Linked DNA regions of Arabidopsis thaliana. The main gene of each other region encodes a partner of the protein of the gene in region 2 in a complex. Each region holds a gene or a part of one and is shown on either strand. Other genes may lie near its edges. A codon is read from its position in the direction of its gene.

Evidence for each region.
Region 1: the proteins of AHP1 (region 2) and RR1 are in contact, whole or in part, in a crystal structure (PDB 9H6E), measured with the Arabidopsis thaliana proteins. Residues at the interface, in NP_188788.1 of Arabidopsis thaliana: Gln26 (codon at 2,027), Gln29 (codon at 2,018), Leu30 (codon at 2,015), Leu33 (codon at 2,006), Asp35 (codon at 2,000), Ser37 (codon at 1,994), Asn38 (codon at 1,991), Phe41 (codon at 1,982), Gln44 (codon at 1,973), Val45 (codon at 1,970), Leu48 (codon at 1,961), Phe49 (codon at 1,958), Asp52 (codon at 1,949), Pro76 (codon at 1,785), His79 (codon at 1,776), Gln80 (codon at 1,773), Lys82 (codon at 1,767), Gly83 (codon at 1,764), Ser84 (codon at 1,761), Ser86 (codon at 1,755), Ser87 (codon at 1,752), Ile88 (codon at 1,645), Arg101 (codon at 1,606); in NP_566561.2 of Arabidopsis thaliana: Asp44 (codon at 3,790), Asp45 (codon at 3,787), Pro46 (codon at 3,784), Thr47 (codon at 3,781), Cys48 (codon at 3,778), Met50 (codon at 3,772), Ile51 (codon at 3,769), Arg54 (codon at 3,760), Met55 (codon at 3,757), Thr58 (codon at 3,748), His91 (codon at 3,152), Ser116 (codon at 2,994), Ala117 (codon at 2,991), Asp118 (codon at 2,988), Lys138 (codon at 2,928), Pro139 (codon at 2,925), Met142 (codon at 2,916).
Region 3: the proteins of AHP1 (region 2) and HK5 are in contact, whole or in part, in a crystal structure (PDB 4EUK), measured with the Arabidopsis thaliana proteins. Residues at the interface, in NP_188788.1 of Arabidopsis thaliana: Gln26 (codon at 2,027), Gln29 (codon at 2,018), Leu30 (codon at 2,015), Gln32 (codon at 2,009), Leu33 (codon at 2,006), Asp35 (codon at 2,000), Asn38 (codon at 1,991), Phe41 (codon at 1,982), Gln44 (codon at 1,973), Val45 (codon at 1,970), Leu48 (codon at 1,961), Phe49 (codon at 1,958), Asp52 (codon at 1,949), His79 (codon at 1,776), Gln80 (codon at 1,773), Lys82 (codon at 1,767), Gly83 (codon at 1,764), Ser84 (codon at 1,761), Ser86 (codon at 1,755), Ser87 (codon at 1,752), Ile88 (codon at 1,645), Arg101 (codon at 1,606); in NP_196633.2 of Arabidopsis thaliana: Asp785 (codon at 1,275), Asn786 (codon at 1,272), Lys787 (codon at 1,269), Ile788 (codon at 1,266), Asn789 (codon at 1,263), Met791 (codon at 1,257), Val792 (codon at 1,254), Ser795 (codon at 1,245), Met796 (codon at 1,242), Gln799 (codon at 1,233), Cys830 (codon at 1,052), Ala885 (codon at 798), Asn886 (codon at 795), Thr887 (codon at 792), Glu890 (codon at 783), Pro907 (codon at 732), Val908 (codon at 729), Thr909 (codon at 726), Leu910 (codon at 723).

Annotation. Positions count from the first base shown.
Region 1 is NC_003074.8:5,754,219-5,760,031, reverse strand, and holds RR1 (response regulator 1), read right to left. Parts: upstream 4,212-5,813; 5' UTR 3,920-4,211; coding exon 3,733-3,919; intron 3,677-3,732; exon of another isoform or gene 3,318-3,676; intron 3,236-3,317; coding exon 3,083-3,235; intron 3,000-3,082; coding exon 2,559-2,999; intron 2,486-2,558; coding exon 2,409-2,485; intron 2,331-2,408; coding exon 1,185-2,330; coding exon of another isoform or gene 1,179-1,184; exon of another isoform or gene 962-1,178; coding exon 893-961; 3' UTR 589-892; downstream 1-588. Other genes in the region: COBL8 (COBRA-like protein 8 precursor), read left to right, coding at 1-389.
Region 2 is NC_003074.8:7,577,211-7,581,599, forward strand, and holds AHP1 (histidine-containing phosphotransmitter 1), read right to left. Parts: upstream 2,580-4,389; 5' UTR 2,328-2,579; coding exon 2,268-2,327; intron 2,043-2,267; coding exon 1,912-2,042; intron 1,820-1,911; coding exon 1,751-1,819; intron 1,647-1,750; coding exon 1,575-1,646; intron 1,487-1,574; coding exon 1,414-1,486; intron 1,282-1,413; coding exon 1,222-1,281; 3' UTR 502-1,221; downstream 1-501. UniProt on the Arabidopsis thaliana protein: Functions as a two-component phosphorelay mediators between cytokinin sensor histidine kinases and response regulator (B-type ARRs). Plays an important role in propagating cytokinin signal transduction through the multistep His-to-Asp phosphorelay.
Region 3 is NC_003076.8:3,384,310-3,391,222, reverse strand, and holds HK5 (histidine kinase 5), read right to left. Parts: upstream 5,323-6,913; 5' UTR 5,054-5,322; intron 4,497-5,053; 5' UTR 4,389-4,496; coding exon 3,684-4,388; intron 3,607-3,683; coding exon 3,550-3,606; intron 3,458-3,549; coding exon 3,230-3,457; intron 3,148-3,229; coding exon 3,054-3,147; intron 2,973-3,053; coding exon 2,766-2,972; intron 2,665-2,765; coding exon 2,534-2,664; intron 2,457-2,533; coding exon 2,407-2,456; intron 2,334-2,406; coding exon 2,152-2,333; intron 2,056-2,151; coding exon 1,952-2,055; intron 1,870-1,951; coding exon 1,147-1,869; intron 1,059-1,146; coding exon 894-1,058; intron 805-893; coding exon 682-804; 3' UTR 537-681; downstream 1-536. Other genes in the region: AT5G10730 (NAD(P)-binding Rossmann-fold superfamily protein), read left to right, coding at 56-147, 222-401. UniProt on the Arabidopsis thaliana protein: Functions as a histidine kinase and transmits the stress signal to a downstream MAPK cascade.

The DNA.
Region 1 (5,813 bases), 1.8 Mb from region 2:
CCGCGGTTGAACTGAGAAATGCTGCACCCGGTTTTCAGAAAGCGTACTCGTTTAACGGAAGTATCATCGCGGTCAACGGGAAGAACACAACTGTTTTAATGGAAGGGCTCCCTGGACTGAACTATCTCCTTGCAGAGAAAGACGGAAAAAACCCGAGTGAAGACTTTCGGATACCCGGGAAACAGCAGTCGGTTATCTCCTTCACCAAGAAACTGACTCCTGGAATCAAAGTTGGTTCCAAAGATGGGTTTCCCACCAAAGTACTCTTCAACGGCCAGGAATGTTCACTCCCTTCTGTACTACCCACGAGCAACAGTCACAGGAAACATGTATCCACCTTTCTTCTCATCCTGACACCATTTTTGGCTCTACTGTTTCTTCGGATTTAAAAGTTCCAGTGAAGGACTTTCCTCATTAGCCAGAAAATATACAGTTTTCTTGATTCTTTCTAACCAGATTTGATGCAGAATTACTTCTACTACTAGTGGTGCTTTGTGCACCGTGTGATTCTTGAATTTCGTATGATCAGATTTTAGTAATCAGTATGTATACATACAAATATTGAACAGACAAATCCCTTTGTGTTTTGATCTTGAATTGCTTTGATTTCACGTTGTGGCGTTGTACTAAATTAAGTTTGTTCGAATTATTCTAAGCATTTACTCGAAATACATACTTACAAAACCCTAAACAGCCTCACTACATAAATGAGGAACAAAAGAATCTCCAAGGATATTAACCCCTAACATGAATAATTATTTCTTATATAATCTGCCATTTAAAATTTCATGCAGACTACATATATATCAAACAAGTTTTAGTAGATCGTCGTGTAAAAATGATACAGTACAGATCCGGGTAGTCCCTCCGGTTTATCGGTTTTTTTATCCAATCAAACCGGAATGTTATCGATGGAGTATGCGTCAAAGTCGAATTCGCCATCAACCGGTGCAATCCCTTCCTGTATATCAATAATTCAAGATTGTGTTTTTCAACTTTTTTGGTTCACTGATTTTTTTTGTTATTTAGTTGTAATTTGCATTATTATGAAAAAGACATGCGACCAATGGTGAGAAAGCGTCTGAGAGTTGTTATATATTTGATTTTGAACGCAAACATGTACGTTGACGGATCAGATTATGCTTCTATATAAGTTTGACAAAAAAAAAAAAATCAAATCAAACCTGCTTAAGAAGTGCGCTCATAAGATCTTCTTGATTACTATACTGCTCGTGAAACGCCATTGTTGCTGTATCCGTAGCCACTCTCTCTGATTTCACCCTCACTGAACCACCGTTTCCGTCTGCATAAACCTGATGGTGCTGTACCATTCCCGATGGTGGCTGCTGGTGGTTTCGGCCATGCTCGGTGGCTGCAACTGTCGTGTTGTGTCTTGACATGGACGAAGAAGAGTAGGCTTCTGAAGCGGAAAACGCAGCGGATTCTGAGTCCTGATGTGAGTCAAAGGCTATTCCAATATTCCTCAGATCCCAATCATTCTGTCTGGTGGTGAACATGTCGTAGCTCGGCGTAGTGAAACCCGCTTCGGAGCTGTTAACCTCTTCCTGGTAAGAAGTGGCTTTCCGAACCGGTACTGATATCCCTGGTGCACTTGCCAGCGGGAAACTGTTCACGGGAAGTTCTGGTTGGAAGTTGTTATAAGGCATCGAGCTTGATGAGTGTTGTGTTGTGAGATTAGTGTAACTTGTCGGTAACACTCTGCTGCTCTCGGGGATATTGTTCCTTCCAGAGAAACCACTTCTCTCGGAAATGCGGTTTGATAACATCGGCTGCCTGATGGATGATTGCGAAGAGGTTAGCATAGGCGGTGGTCCCCGAGGCAAAGACTGCTGACCCGCTAGAGGCATCAGCATTCCGTTGTTTTGAACACTATTTCCAGCTCGAACAGCAGCAATCTGTTGTTGAATACTCATTCGATTACCCATAGGAAGCTGCTGTTGTAAACCCGTGGGGACACCGTGAAGTAAGTTCATCTGTGGTTGCTGTTGGGGTTGTTGCCCGTGATGCCCAAGCCCTTCTCCAAATCTTGTTTTCGTGTTGTCAAAGCTGAAGATGCTTCTCTCATCCACAATGGAGGAAACCGGCAAACCTGACTTAGAGACCATCGCAGGCCGGCCTAAACCAGCGGCTTGAAGCTGTGCAAGACTCTGTGCAGGTAACTGACCTGTGACGGCTAGTGCTTGAAGATCAAACCCATTCAATGTCGAAAGAGGTCCGAAGCTCGCATCCTGACCCGTCATAAACGAGTTGTTAAGATTGCCTTGGTGCTGCGATACCCCTCCAAGCCGTCTTAGATATATCCGGTATTTCTGCAAGTCCACATAAAGCCGCTAAGAACATCTAAGCATTTCAATGGCTCATTTTGGTATCCAGTATAAGATTTATACCTGGAGGTGACTTGCTACGTTTTCTCGGGTTAGACCAGGAACATTCATCAGCTCTAAGATCTTTTTAGGAACCGCCTCTGCGCCATAGAAGATCATTTAGACCCTGAGCATAACAATCACAAATGCAAATGTAAGAAGTTTTAGTCTTACTCTCAACGCCGAGCTGATTAACAGCAGCAACAAACTGCTGATGCAATTCAACAGACCAGACGACACGCGGTTTCTTCAAATTCGACGCATCTTCGTCCTTATCATCTCCTTGCTCTTCTCCTTCCTCGTCTTTCCTCTTCCGTGAACTGCTCCTCCAATTGTTACCTTCGTTAACCGAGGATGAGTTATCATCCACCGCATCCTCTCCACCAGAAACAGCTGCACCACCACCACCTCCTCTATGTTGCTGCTGCTGTCTCTCGCCAGTCTCCTCAATGCTCCCAGAATGTTCCGGTACACTCCATTCACTTCTCCTCTTCCTAACTACATGCTGCCATATGTTCTTAAGTGCCTCCATACGTACAGGCTTGATAAGGTAATCAACCGCACCGTGCGTTACTCCCTTTAGAACCACACTCTTTGAATCATCCGCAGACATCACTAGTTAAACGAATACAAGATCAATAATCTATAAAAAAAGATTCAAACTTAGATGAGATTTGAGGGAGTAAAAAGAACGTTACTGATAACAGGTAAGTCCATCTCTAGACCAACATGCTCAAGAAGCTTGAAACCGTCCATGTCAGGCATATGAACATCACTGATTACTATATCGAATCCATGTTTGTTCTTCCGGAGCAGAGACAATGCCATCTCTGCTCTGTTGCATTTCGTTACTGCATGTCATAACAACCAAAATGTTTCATATCTTCAAAGATAAAAGAAAAAAACAGAGATTTGAATTCTGACAACAAGGACCTCATGAATTGACATTTAACCAAAACTCAAGTCAAAGATCAAAGACTCAAGATTTGAATCCATTTGAAACCTCCCCTAACTTATTATATACAATGGATCTACATGTGAATCTATCAGTAGATCAAAATGGTGTGATCTAAATGAAGAAGCTCGAGATTAATATGTGAATCTTAAAAAGTAACCAAAATGGTTTCTATTAAAGGGGGAGCAAAGTTAGTCAACCACCGATATGAAAACCATAATTATTCCTCAAAATAACATAATTTTCGAGAATGGACCACAAATAAACCCATCATTGGAGCAAGAGACCATGAACTCTCTTTCTCTCTCTCTCTCTCTCTCTCTCGTGAGATTAAACGAACAAAAAAAAAAAAAAAAAAATGAAAAGAGAAGATCTTGGTTTTTGGATACGAACCTTCGTAAAGACAAGTCCTAAGCATCCTCTCTAAGATCATGAGACAAGTTGGGTCATCGTCAACGACAAGAACTCGAAGACCAGAAGGAAACATCTCGACGACGGTCTCACCACCACCTCCTTGATTTCTACCGGAGCTGGACCCACCAGCCGATCCGAGTCCTCTTCCGTGACTCGGATTCATCATACCTCTCTCTATGTAGCTCGAACCCAAGAAACAAAAAAAGAAAAGCAGAAAAGAATATATACCCAGAAAGAAAGAGGGGAAATTGACGCGAGTTTTATTCGATTTAAAATTGAATATTATGAGAGAATACGAAATTGTTGGAGATAGAAGTGAATCTCTTCTGGGTAACCAAAAAAAAGAAGAAGAGAGAGATGGTGAGATGAGACTTAGGGAGTTGAAGAAGACAAGGCTTGTCTCACCTTAGAGCTCTTTTTCTCTGTTTTTTTATTTATTCACAGAGTAAAGCTCTCTTAATTTTTCCTATTCAATTTTTGTAACATTTAGATGCAGAAGAAAAAAAAAATGTGGTTTTTATATACTCAGTCATATATATTTTTTATTTACATATATGTAGAAGCTGACATGTCCTTTATTTTCATCATTCTCTCTACATTTAGACTATTGGTTTTATTAAATTTCATTTAGATCCACTCTCTTTTTTATTCTCAATTTCTTACAAGTTAGTTTTGTATATTATATGTACTATTGTTCTATATTCTGTTTTATTTTTCTATTTAGAAGAACATTTTGGATGTTGCTTTGAGCTCAAATTCTGGGTTATTTTGTGAAGTAGTGAAATATAGGGGTTGAATCATCAATGAAAGAAATATAGGGTAAGGAAATTTATATAATTGGGAAGAAAGTGGGACCAAAGACCCTTGATTCGTGGATCCAGCTCATGCATGAAAAAATTAATTAACTCGTCATATGTAAAGTTTGCAAACTCAAACCTTAATAGATTTTCATTAGTATTATTGTTGTTAGTTTCCTAATTTTTTGTTTTAATTTCCATTTTCTACCAATTTCGAATAGGAATTTGCCTTAAACAAAAGAGCAGCTGCATATATATATAAAAAATTCTTAGTTTTGATATGCCTATAATTTATTTACTAAACTACCCTTTGAATTTATGTAATTGAGAAACAATGCCTCCTGTCTATTGGACCTACATGTATTAAATTAAACGGCAAAATAAAAATATAATCATATCATTAAATTAAACAAAATAATACGTCTACGCACATTCAAGCATATGATTAAGGTACCAAAATACACCTAAGCATTTCCCATCATCACCTACATCTTTAGCTAAGATATAGTACATATACTTTTATCAACAAAAAAAAACCAGATATATGATGTATACATAACATAAGATTACTCGATGCCTTTTTTGGTGCAAATTAAACATATAACCTTCCAAATTTTTTAGTATGTATTTATTTCAAGTCGTGTGTAACTATGATTAGTAAGAATATAACTTATATAGTATACTTTTCATGTTTTAATCAAAAACAACTTGTAGTTCTAGGAAATAAATTGTATTAAATGGAAAATAGAAAAAAATTGTACGTTTGATTGTTGAAAACATATATATATATATATATATATATATATATGTATGTATAATTACAAGTTTACAACAACAGTAGTCAGTATATGGTGCAAAAAAAAACATGTGCGCTTCTTCTCTTAAAACGTTGGATACTAAATAAACAAAGAAATAATGCAAATGGTTCATCTGAATGATTAGTAACATCATATGCTACCCACCAATCGCCCTATTCCCCCGAAAGTATATTTTTAATAATGTATAGGATAACAAATCATATTTGACTATTCGATTGCTCTACGACATATTTATAAACACATACAAACCAGTAACTTATTTATAAATGTGTAAATTTGTCAACTTCAATGTAAACTATATCTAAGTTATCCAAGTTCAGTGTATACTTTGCTTAAATAGTTGTTTAGCACCGCCGACATGTCTTATCTTTTTCAAATTAACGATAGTTTTAAGTGTGACATACGACTTGTTTCATATGTGCATCGATACCTAATTTCTTACATT
Region 2 (4,389 bases):
AATAATGATGCATGTATAATGTGTTTCATGTGTGTTGAAAGTTGTAACTAGTGATTTAGACTACAGATAGGAGAAAACTTAATGGAATTATTCAACCTATCTCTTGTCTTGATTACTGATTAGTCTTCTTCTTCTATGCATATATTTTCACCAAAACATGCTTCCCTTTGGATACTATGCATGTTTGAAACAATAAAATAGGAATAAGATATTGATTATAACCAAAAAAAAAAAAGTGTTATTTACCCTATGATCCTTATTTAAATTTGTAATCGATAATAACAAGGTGGAAGAACATATAAACATCATATTTTTGTCATATTGCATAATTAATGGTATGGTTCATTATACATACGAAATTACGAACTGGAAATCTTAATTATTATTGAAAAGACAAAAAGGTCACTTGAAAACAAAATTAAACAGAAGGTACAATTAAAGGAACTAGTAAAGTTATGAACAAACGATGAAGGGAACGCTCATTCTTTACCCAAAAAAGTTCAAATAAAAAAGATGGAGCACTAATTAATACGAGTATAGAGCAATACAAAGTTATAAGTGGTAAACTAGAAGTCTAGAAATCGAACATGAGGTTATAAATTGGAGCCATATATAGTCGACGACAGGTCACGGATCTGTAAGTAATTAAGAATTTTGTCATTATTTTATTTTTAGCTACATTATTTAACGTGCACTCACATAGTATAACTTTATTTTTTTCTTAATTGCATTGTATAAATGTCTGAAAATCTTTAGAGATTCGTCGAAGTGCAATCGTAATAAAAAAAAGATTTCCAAGATCATCATGGATGTTTAGTACGGGCCCTTTGTTATCATCTTGGGCTACTAAAATTCATATGGCCCATCTGTGTTCTTTGGTCAAGGACTACAAGACTTCTAACTACTTCTAACAGTTACAGTAAAACAACAACCTAATACCTAACCAAGTTGTCCGGATCACATTACCTTGATGCGTACATTATCTTGATCAAACTCTATATAATTGTAGTCATGACTCATGACTATATGTTTGCTTGAGATCTTATTTTACATATGTGGGATTTAGATGTGGATTAAGAAACGTTTTAGCATGTCTCACTCTTCCAATGGCACAAAGAAAGAAGTTCACATAAGAACCTTTTTTTGATAGTCACATAAAGAGAGGAAGAAGAGAGAGTCCAAAATGAAACAACAATGGACAGAGATGTTTATGAAATTCACTCAAAATCCGAGTTCGACGGCCGGGATCATTCCACCAGAAGCTACAATCTGTTGCTCCAGCTGCATAGATTCGATCATCAAAACCAAAATTGAATCAGATAAGTTTCAAATGTTGATCAAAATATTGTATAACTAGATAAGAGTTATGTGGGTGGTTTTATAAAAAAAAAAAAAGTCTCTTTGACTTTTTACCTTGAACAGAGTCTCTAATCTGTTTTTCACAAGATAATACTCTTGCTTCACTTGTTGCAAACATCTATGACATCTGAAATTTTTCAACGATGTATTTTCCTAATCAGATCTTAAAACAAAGAAATAACGAATGGACCAACGAACATATCGATTAAACTCACGCTTCGACATTTTGCTGCTCGCAGAAGCTGCGGAAGACAACACAAGCATTCTTAACTCTCTGTGCTCCTATACTGTTATTTTTTGGCAATATATATTGTTACACATTTCAAGATCAAGAAAATGTCATTATCATTGGATTAAAATCAGAAATAGCCAGTTTTGTTTTTGTTGTTACCTGGAGCTGCTACCTTTGAGTTGATGAACATGGGGATCAACTTTTTTAAAGTCTACAACTTGTTGATCTCTGCCCGAAGCATAAAAAAACAGTGAGAAACACAAGTTTTGGAAAAGAACAAAAAAAAAAAGATTAAAGAGAGAATGTGTAAAGAAGATTACAGGGAAAGTGAGAGATCATTGAGAATCCTATCAGAGTCTTGGAAGAAGAGTGTGACAACTTGTGAAACAAAATCTGGATTGCTTTCATCTTGTAGTTGTTGCAGCTGCAAGAACTGGCTGTCCAAAATCCCCTTTTTTGTATTTACCCAAAACAAAAGACTTTCCATAATCAGAAACTAATTTTACATAACCTAAACTCATGATTATCTTACCAAAGAAACTACAAAAGCCTAACACATTTTTACTATAAGTCCTAAAACCATTTTTACTACAAGTCCTAAAACCAGAAAGAAAAAGTTGTGAACGTTAAAACAAGTTTTCTGATTATTTGATCTTTTCAAATGTGAAAAACTTACTTCTAAGAAGAGTGATTTGGTGTAATCTTGCAAACTCTTCTGCTTCTGAACCAAATCCATATTCTCTGTTATTTGCTTTTGTTCTTTATTTCTTTGTTTCTCTCTGCCAATAATGGAGGTAAGAAAATGTCCAACAAAATCCTCAGTACTTAAAAGATGAGAACAAAATCCTCCGTATCAAAAAACCCTATTTTTTAAATTTAAATAGTTTGTATTTTATTATTACAATTTTGGTTTGGATGTGAGAAAAGAATCCAAAAAGAAAGAAACTCTTAAAGAATGGAAGTTGGTCGTGCTGTCAACTGTCTAACCATTCGCGCCTTTTTTTCCTCGTTTTTTTTGCAAATGTGATAAAGACATAAGAAGAGCATTTGATACTTCTTGATTTGTCTTTTTTTTTCTTAAGATTTTAAAACATTTTATTGGTTCGAATATTTAAATTACTGTACTACTGATGAAAAGCATATACTAATATGCACAGCTCGCATTCAATGTATCTTTCAAATAGCATCTCTAGGGAAACTTTATTTGTAATATAATTTTGATTTGATCCTCATTGTTTTTGTCCAACTAGCAATTCTTTTATTATAATAATACATTGATTGGTTAGTTTATTTTATATTGATGTATCACAAATATCGTAACGTAATGGGTTTATCAAGGAAATTGTGACTTTGAGAACTCAAATGCCGCCTAACACTTTGTAATGTTGTTCAAAACCAAAACTAAATGCAGCTTATAATTTCTTTAGTCATATATCTCGTCCAATCATTTGGTGGAATTCTTATTAAACTAGGATTTATCATATTTTGTGTTATACCAATATTTTTCATTATAATCAACCACTTATCACAATTCAAATGTTTTTTCGTGATTTCTCAAAGCTTTTCTATTTACTCGTTTGTCACTTGCTCTATAAATTTCTTTCAACTAACAATATTTCAAAACAACCTAACAATATATATGCAATAGCTCATATCCTTTCAATCTTTCATAGAGTACTACATACAATATATTTTTACGTAACATTTTCAACTACAACGATCAGCACACCAGTCTCATCTTTTTCAACCACACTATTTCTTCATTTGCATATCCCTGGTATTTTCGTCACTCCAAATACTTTCCCAATCATACTCATACACACCATTCTTATCTATTTCCTCATGCACAGTAAAATGACAATTTTTTCCTTAGACAATTCGTATTTTCAATAACAATTTCAACACGTCAAGCCAAAATAAAAATAGTAAATTAGTTTCACTGTATTAATTTCTGCAAATTTGGGTAAACATCAACGCTTTGACACGTCTCACATGATGAATGGACATGGGACATGCAAGAACGTAGGATGCGTTTAACGAATGGCATAAAACGTATTATATATACTAACTAACCAAAGATTATTAGTGGTTCTTACTTGATAATGGGTCCATCGTAAGAAGGTTCCATCACTAATTATGGACCTTTCAAATCTTATTATGAATTTTGATATCTTACATTATATTATCTCCGTATAAAAGTTAAACTGTGCTTCCTTAGTTTTTAACAAATTTATACGTAAAAAGTCAAGAAAGAGTTTGCACTCACCCATATCTCCAAGCAATTTATTATAAGAAAATCCTTATAGCCAATAGCCATATCAAGTTTTTAAAAAGGTTTAAAGCTAGAATACAAGTCGCTGTAGACGCAGCCAAATACGATATTATTTACTAAAAACAAATAAAAGGTAAACATGCAGAACGAGTTAGTCGATTTGTTGGTTCACTGCCAATTTCAGGTTAAGTTCAATTTACACAAGTAAAATAAATTAGTTGTCAATTTTATCTCGTGTATGGGCTTGGTTGGTTCAACCGCAAACAAAAAGAAGAAAAAAGTGAGTTTAGATATTAAAATGGTGTATTTACATTTGTAACACAATACCGTAAAAACAATCCATGTTGACGTAATGGTTTCACATACGATAAACACACTTTTAGATCATGTAAAATACAAATGCATGTAAACGTAGATTTTAAAACACAAGTCCATATTCTCTATCAATTTTGTGTTATCACGTTTACAAATTATGTTTGATAAAAGAAAACTAACCGCATTTTAACATATAAACACAAAAACAACA
Region 3 (6,913 bases), on a different chromosome or scaffold from region 2:
TCTCTCTGAAACTCGTTTGTTTTTTACATTTGAAGTTTTGGTGAATGTTGTGCAGGTATAATCTTGCGACCTGGTTTTATATATGGAACTCGCAGTGTTGGGAGCATGAAGATCCCGTTAGGAGTATTTGGTTCACCCATGGAGATGGTAAGAGATCCTCTCTTTATAGCAATATCCCTCAAGATTACCTCGTTACTCATAATGTTTGTGGCTTTATGTAGGTTCTTCAACAAGCAAAACCTCTGAACCAGCTTCCATTAGTCGGACCTTTGTTCACACCTCCGGTGAATGTTGAATCGGTTGCAAAAGTCGCAGTTAGAGCAGCCACAGATCCAGTGTTCCCTCCCGGGATTGTGGATGTCCATGGAATACAACGTTACAGCCAACAGAAATCGAGATAAGTCCGTTTTGAAAAGCTTAAGTATGCTCAATGTCGTTTTGTAGAGCTTGGCTGCTTTTAGTACTCTGCTGGATTCGAATGGTGGGAACAAAAATGTTTACTTGTTTCTCTCGCCAGAAATTTCCCACAAATAAATAAAGAAGAGAAGCTTTTATTTATTTATTGAACTATACATCTCTAAAAAGAGGAAGCTACTTAGTAGCTCTCCAAAACTTTTTTCCTACACAATTTATATACAACACAACCATTTCTTAATCTACAAAACACAAAAATCTGAAATCTCAGTGCAAATACTGTTGCAAACACTCTCTCAGTTTTTGCAACGTTACAGGTTTCGAAATAAACGAGTCCATACCATTTGCATAACATTCTTCTGAACTCTCTGCTAAAGTATTTGCCGTCATCTGCACATTCCACAACGCATTCTGACTATCAGTTTTCTCAAGTTATGCATTAGATCTCTGTGTTTAGTATTCAAAAAAGAAGTACTGACCGCGATTATAGGCAGCCGGTTTGTGGGACGCATACAAACTTGTTCATTCTCCGATGTCGATATATCTACTCCGGCTTCTATTGCAGCATTCCAGTTCCCAGTTTCTTCATACGAACGGATCAGTCTTGTAGCTTTTAAACCATCGAGCACCGGCATGCACACATCCTGTGAACCCAATATGAATTATAAGCCTTTTTCAAATATAAGTGAATTTGAAAAGGACAAGTCCTTAGAGCTAAGAAAATTTACATACCATGAGTACCAGATCGTAGCTAGAGCTATTAATCGCGGTTATGGCTTCAACTCCATTATTAGCAATATCCATGGTATGGCCTAACTGCTTCATCATCGACTTTGCAACCATGATGTTGATCTTATTATCTTCCACAAGCAAAATCTTTGGCTTTGATGTTTCTTTTACTTCTGTCTCGGCTTTTTCCTCTTCCCTATGAGATGAAACTGTGAGCTCTGACTCCATTTCTAAGGTTCCACCTTCTGAGCTAGCTTGTGAACTGCTACAAGATTCAGATTCCTTAGAGAAACATCGACCATTTCCATTCTCATATTGGTGAGCTGATTCAGGGCAATGACCAGAACTGGTTTCGAGTTTAGATTCATCCATGTAACCACCGTTTTCAAGCTGTAGCATCTCGCTCTGTCCAGTGTTATTAGAGGGATCAGCGACAAAACCATTGATGAGCTTAATAGGACTAGTAAGCATGACTTTATGAGGTAAGAAGTCATTGCTGATCCCCGGTCCGCCATTCGAATATATCGATCCTAAGAGCGGTTTAAACTGGAAATATCCTTCAGCTGTATCGTCTGGTTCAGATTGTTGATCCGCCATATCAGAGAACTCATCTTGATCATCTGAATAATCATCTGATCTTCCAACTTTGTAGGGTAATATAAATGTGAACGTTGAACCTTCGCTCACCCGGCTTGTCACAGTGAGTTGGCCTCCCATTAACTCAACCTGTAAACAAACAGAGAAAGATTAGGATAACGAGCTTCATTAGTTTCTTCTGTAGTGTTGTAAAATCCTAATAATAGCTTACCAGCTGTTTACAAATAGCAAGTCCGAGACCAGTCCCACCGTATTTTCGGGCATGATCAGCGCTTGCTTGCATGTACTTCTTGAACAAACATGGAAGAGCGTTTTCTGCACAAGAACACCAAAACATGAACCAGGTTAATATATAGGTTAGTTGGAGTTTTTTAGTCTTTTCATGTTCATTTGTCAGAATTGCTTGCTTGCCTGGGATTCCAATTCCAGTGTCCCATACGTCACAGCAAATCCAAACTGAAGTCTCGGTCAAACCGTTTTGTTCGTGTTCCTCGGTGTCTGCGTTCAATGCGTTATCCCGCACAAAGGATGGTTCTGATATCACTTGGAGTTTGATTCCTACATTTCCTTCATGTGTAAACTTGATAGCATTGCTGCAAAACGTTTGAACAAATCAGGAACCGAAACTTGTCATTATGCAAATAATACAGGAATCAGGTAAAGAACCTTATCAAATTGGTGAGGATCTGCCTAATCCTTAGAACATCTCCAACTACCTAAACATTTAAAGGAAAAAAAGTTAAGATCACAAAGACTTTTGCCACATTTAACTCTTTCTGAAATGTGTAGTAACCTCAATAGGAACATCATCTGCAATGTTTCCTTCTAATGTCAAAGATTTCTTCAGCGATGCTGCAGCTGTCTGTAGCACATGCTTCACTACTTCTCTTGGTCGAAACTTTGTAGCTTCTAATCTCATCACACCTAAAAAGAACACACAAATACCAAAAAATAACATATGTAATCGAGGATTTGAACAATGACCACACCACAAGATCAAAAACTTTGAAAACAGTATATTGTACCTGATTCAACCTTGGAGAGATCAAGAATGTCGTTGATTAGCTGAAGCACCAAATCACCAGAAGAGATCATGACATTCAACAACTGTCTTTGCTCTTTATCCAGTTTTGTAGTTGAAAGTATCTCAGCCATTCCCACTACTCCTGACAATGGTGACCTTATCTCATGAGACATCGTCGCTAGCATCTGCTTTGCTCTCATTGTCTCCTCTGCAAAAGAAAAAACACAACACCTAAGTCTAGTTTTCTCATTAATCTTTCTAAAACTTTCACTGCTTAACTTGAACAAACCTGTAATGTGAATAGTCTTGTTCAGTTCTGATTCCATCGCCTTTCTCACAGCGTTATCTTCTCTAAGTTTCGCCATTTTCTCCCTTTTCACTACCTGTAACACAGGAAGATCCAGTGAAGATGTGAAAATGAGAACATAGATTATAGAATAGTTCAAAAATCTTTAGCTAACTAACCTGATCAGTTACTTCCATTCCCATGTAGTTTATACCGATTTTCTCGCCAGCTTTGTTGTAAACAGGCTCAACATATATCAAAAACGTCTTTGATCCAAATAAATCTGTAGTAAATGTGATCTCTCTCTTTGAAGCTTTTCCTTTCTCAAGAACTTCTCTCTTGAAATCTTCAGATTCTTTAACTCCACCTCCATGGAATATCTCCACGTCTGTTTTTCCCAAAATGTCCTGAAATATAGTAAGAAACAGATTTTGATTTAAACACATTTCCTCAGAGAATGATTCAATAAATCCAACAGAAGAAAAAGTTTTCTTCTAACCTGTTCCCGTAAACTAGGATACTTGTTGTAGATGAACAAGTAGCGTAAATCTTTATCCTGAAACTCATAAGTAACAAAGAATCAGAAAAGTCGAAAAGATCGAAAACAAGATCAAGAATCACCTTTTACTTTACCTGATGGCCCATAACAATAGGTGCATTCTGAAGTATGAAATGCAAGAAACCTTCAGCTCTCTTAAGATTCTGAGTAAGCTCTTGGACCGGTGCTGACTGACTCTCCATAGTTTTCAAACTCTCACTCAGCTTCTCCATCAATCGCCTTTCTCTCTCAGTACTCGCCTCAAGCATTTTCTCAAGACTCAACGCCTTCTGTTTCCAATATGCAACAGTGTCAAACTCCTCATAGATCTCAATCTTCTTGCTATCGACCAAGGCATCTCGTTTTTTCTGCCTAAACCTGCGGAACAAATCACTCGTCTCATCCAAAACCGGAACATTCTCAGGCTCGTTGCTCTCAAACTTATACTCCTCAATGATCTTCAACTCTTTAGCCTCGGCTTCTTCTCTCTGTCTATCGAGATTTTTTAGCTCTTCTTTTAACAGCCGAACCGCGTTGTCTTGCATATACTCCCATTGTTTCACAAGGTTGGTTAGTTGAGAGGAGCCTTGATGAGTCGAATTCAATAGGTTTGGTAACCGTGTCATATCCGCAATGGTCCGTGTCTCGATAGTAACTTCTTTCAACGTGTCTAAATCTCCGGCAGGTTTCTCGACGTTGAACTGTTTGTCAGCTTCAGTTCCAACATCTTCGGGCCACATCGAAGACAAAACTTCGACATCCATTTCCTCAATCTGATCAGTCTCCATTTCACAGACCATTGATCAAGGTTTCTCTTCATACAACAACAGCAACACAATGGACCAGACAAATCTCAAAATTCAAACAACTTTTTTCTTTAAGCCAGAACCTTGATCTGAATAAAGAACCTGTATAGATATTTTCAAACACAGAGGTTAGAGTCAGGACAAACCATCTCCATCAGAGAATCTTGATCTGTAAAATGTGAAAAATAATGAACTAAAATAGAATTTTGCAAAGGGTCCACAACAACTAAGTGTGTGGACCAATTCTGATTGAACATTAGCGGGAAACTTCAAATTATATGATTCGAGCTTAAAAATCAGAAATTTGCAGAGCTTCAAAAAGAAAACTGTATCAGTTTCTTTTTTCAGATTGAATTATCAACTAGGATCATAAAATTCACCAATAAACGATAAAATCTGAAAATAAATTTAAACGATGAAACTTTTTTTTGAGCGATGATCGGAAAAAATATATGGAAAGAAAAAAATCTTTGGTGATTTATTCTTGACATCAGTGATCATATATTATAAACGAAAATCTTGCATTGAGAAACATAAAGAAATTGTAATCATGAAGTCTCGAGATGCAAAAGGCTGAAACAGAAAGAAATGAAAAAAACGAAAGACAAAGCAGAGGAACGAGTATGCCGGAGGAAAGGGGAAGGGATCAGAAGCTTTACCTTCTCCGACTCCGGTCACCGGAAAAATGAAGAAGAAGAAGGAGAGAAAGAAGGAGTGAGTAGATCTGAAGAAGAGTCGTGGTCGTCGGGAGTAGAGTAAATAAACTTCAAATGAGCATTGGGAAGAGAATAGCCAATGAAGAAAGAGAGAGGAGCATGTGAATGAATTGTGAAAGATTGGTAATTTTTTTTACGGAGAAGAGAAAGAGAGAGAGAGAGAGGACATGTGCTTGCTCATGAGACAGAGAGGTCAATGTATATTATATTCATCTCTTCTCTTCTCTTCTCTTCTCTCTCTTTCTCACATTTTTAAGTTGGACATATTTTAATGGCGACTCTGTCTCTCTGCTCTGTGTGTGCACGTTTGTTTTCTTTCTGAGACCGAATCCGAGTTACTATCGAATGACACACAGATTGACACGTTTCGATCTGTCTCACAATTCACTCTTCTCTCTTTCTCTCTGTTCTTTTTTTTCCTCCAGTTTCTCTGCTTTTCCTTACGTCTTTTATACCTCACAGAGTTGACGACGGAAGCTATAAGGCGGCGCGTTTACGTCACGCTCCGAGTATATTGAGGATAGTCACACTATTTTTTAATTAAGTATTAGCAACTTCCTTTATTGAGGAGTAACTAGAAGTGGCGTCAATAATTGTTATAGATTTGGATTTTAATTTGCTCGACGACGATCACTATTAATTCATGATTTGGCTACTTAATCAGTAAACTGGACAACTCTTTGATTAGTAGATTTATATAAGTGAGTTTTATTCTACGTAATTAGAATGATTTTCCGAAACAGAGCAACTCTGTTTAGCTCATGAATTTTTAAGTTGAATCATATATATAAATTTTTGTGTTGTAAAGTTTTGTAGAATGTTAAGCTTTTGGAAAAATATATTAGATGATTTGATGATCCGATAATGAAAATAACTAAACATAATTATAGTTATTTCTAGTTGTCAATAAGTAACGAATGCATGATTTATTTCTTTTGCCTTTTGTACTACTACTCATTACGAAAAAAGAAGATTTTTTTTTAAAATGTATAATCATGTGGTTCTAATATATAGTCTATAGAATGTCAATGTTGACGAAAGTACACAAATATTCGAATTGGGTCGGGACATTCATTGTTTCATGAATAGCAGAAAGCACATGTAGTACCACAAATAAATGTATCGTAACTAGTAGTATAATATTTGTATTAATCACCCAAATCTTAAACTATATTCTACGCTTCAATTTCAGTTGCAAACTAGTATGATCAATAATTTGAACACCTTGCGCATAAAAAAACACGAGAAAAGCTAATAGAAAAAATGAATAAGACCCAATCCTCACAATTCAATGGAGCGGACAACAACTGTATTGGCACAAAATTAGTTGTCTGAAATCAATCCCATTTCTATATCAATAAATTAAATACTAAAAAATTAGCAACTAGTGGTAATAGTACACACAATAATCAAAACTAATAATAATAAATTAAAGGGTCTTTAAATTAAAATAATTTAAGAAAACAGCTAAGCCATTTTTGGTGTCTTAAGTCCCGATCTGAACGGCGCTCGGAGGCTTTTGTCCCGTCCGTAAGTGGCTAATAGGAAACATGTGATGTGGTTAGTCACATGTTCCACGTCAGCCTCAATGTTACACGTGGAATTACCGTTGACTAACACGTGGTCTAATCATTTTCAAACAAGTTTCTTCTGTTTGTCGTGTTTTTTTTTTTTTGTTGCTCTCGCGCCAAAAATTATGGACGGTGGTGAAGGAGATTAAGGATATTGTTATTTTTTTTTAGTTTTGGACGAAAAGACGAGAATGTGGAGATATTAATTGGATGGGGACACCAATCCTTAAAT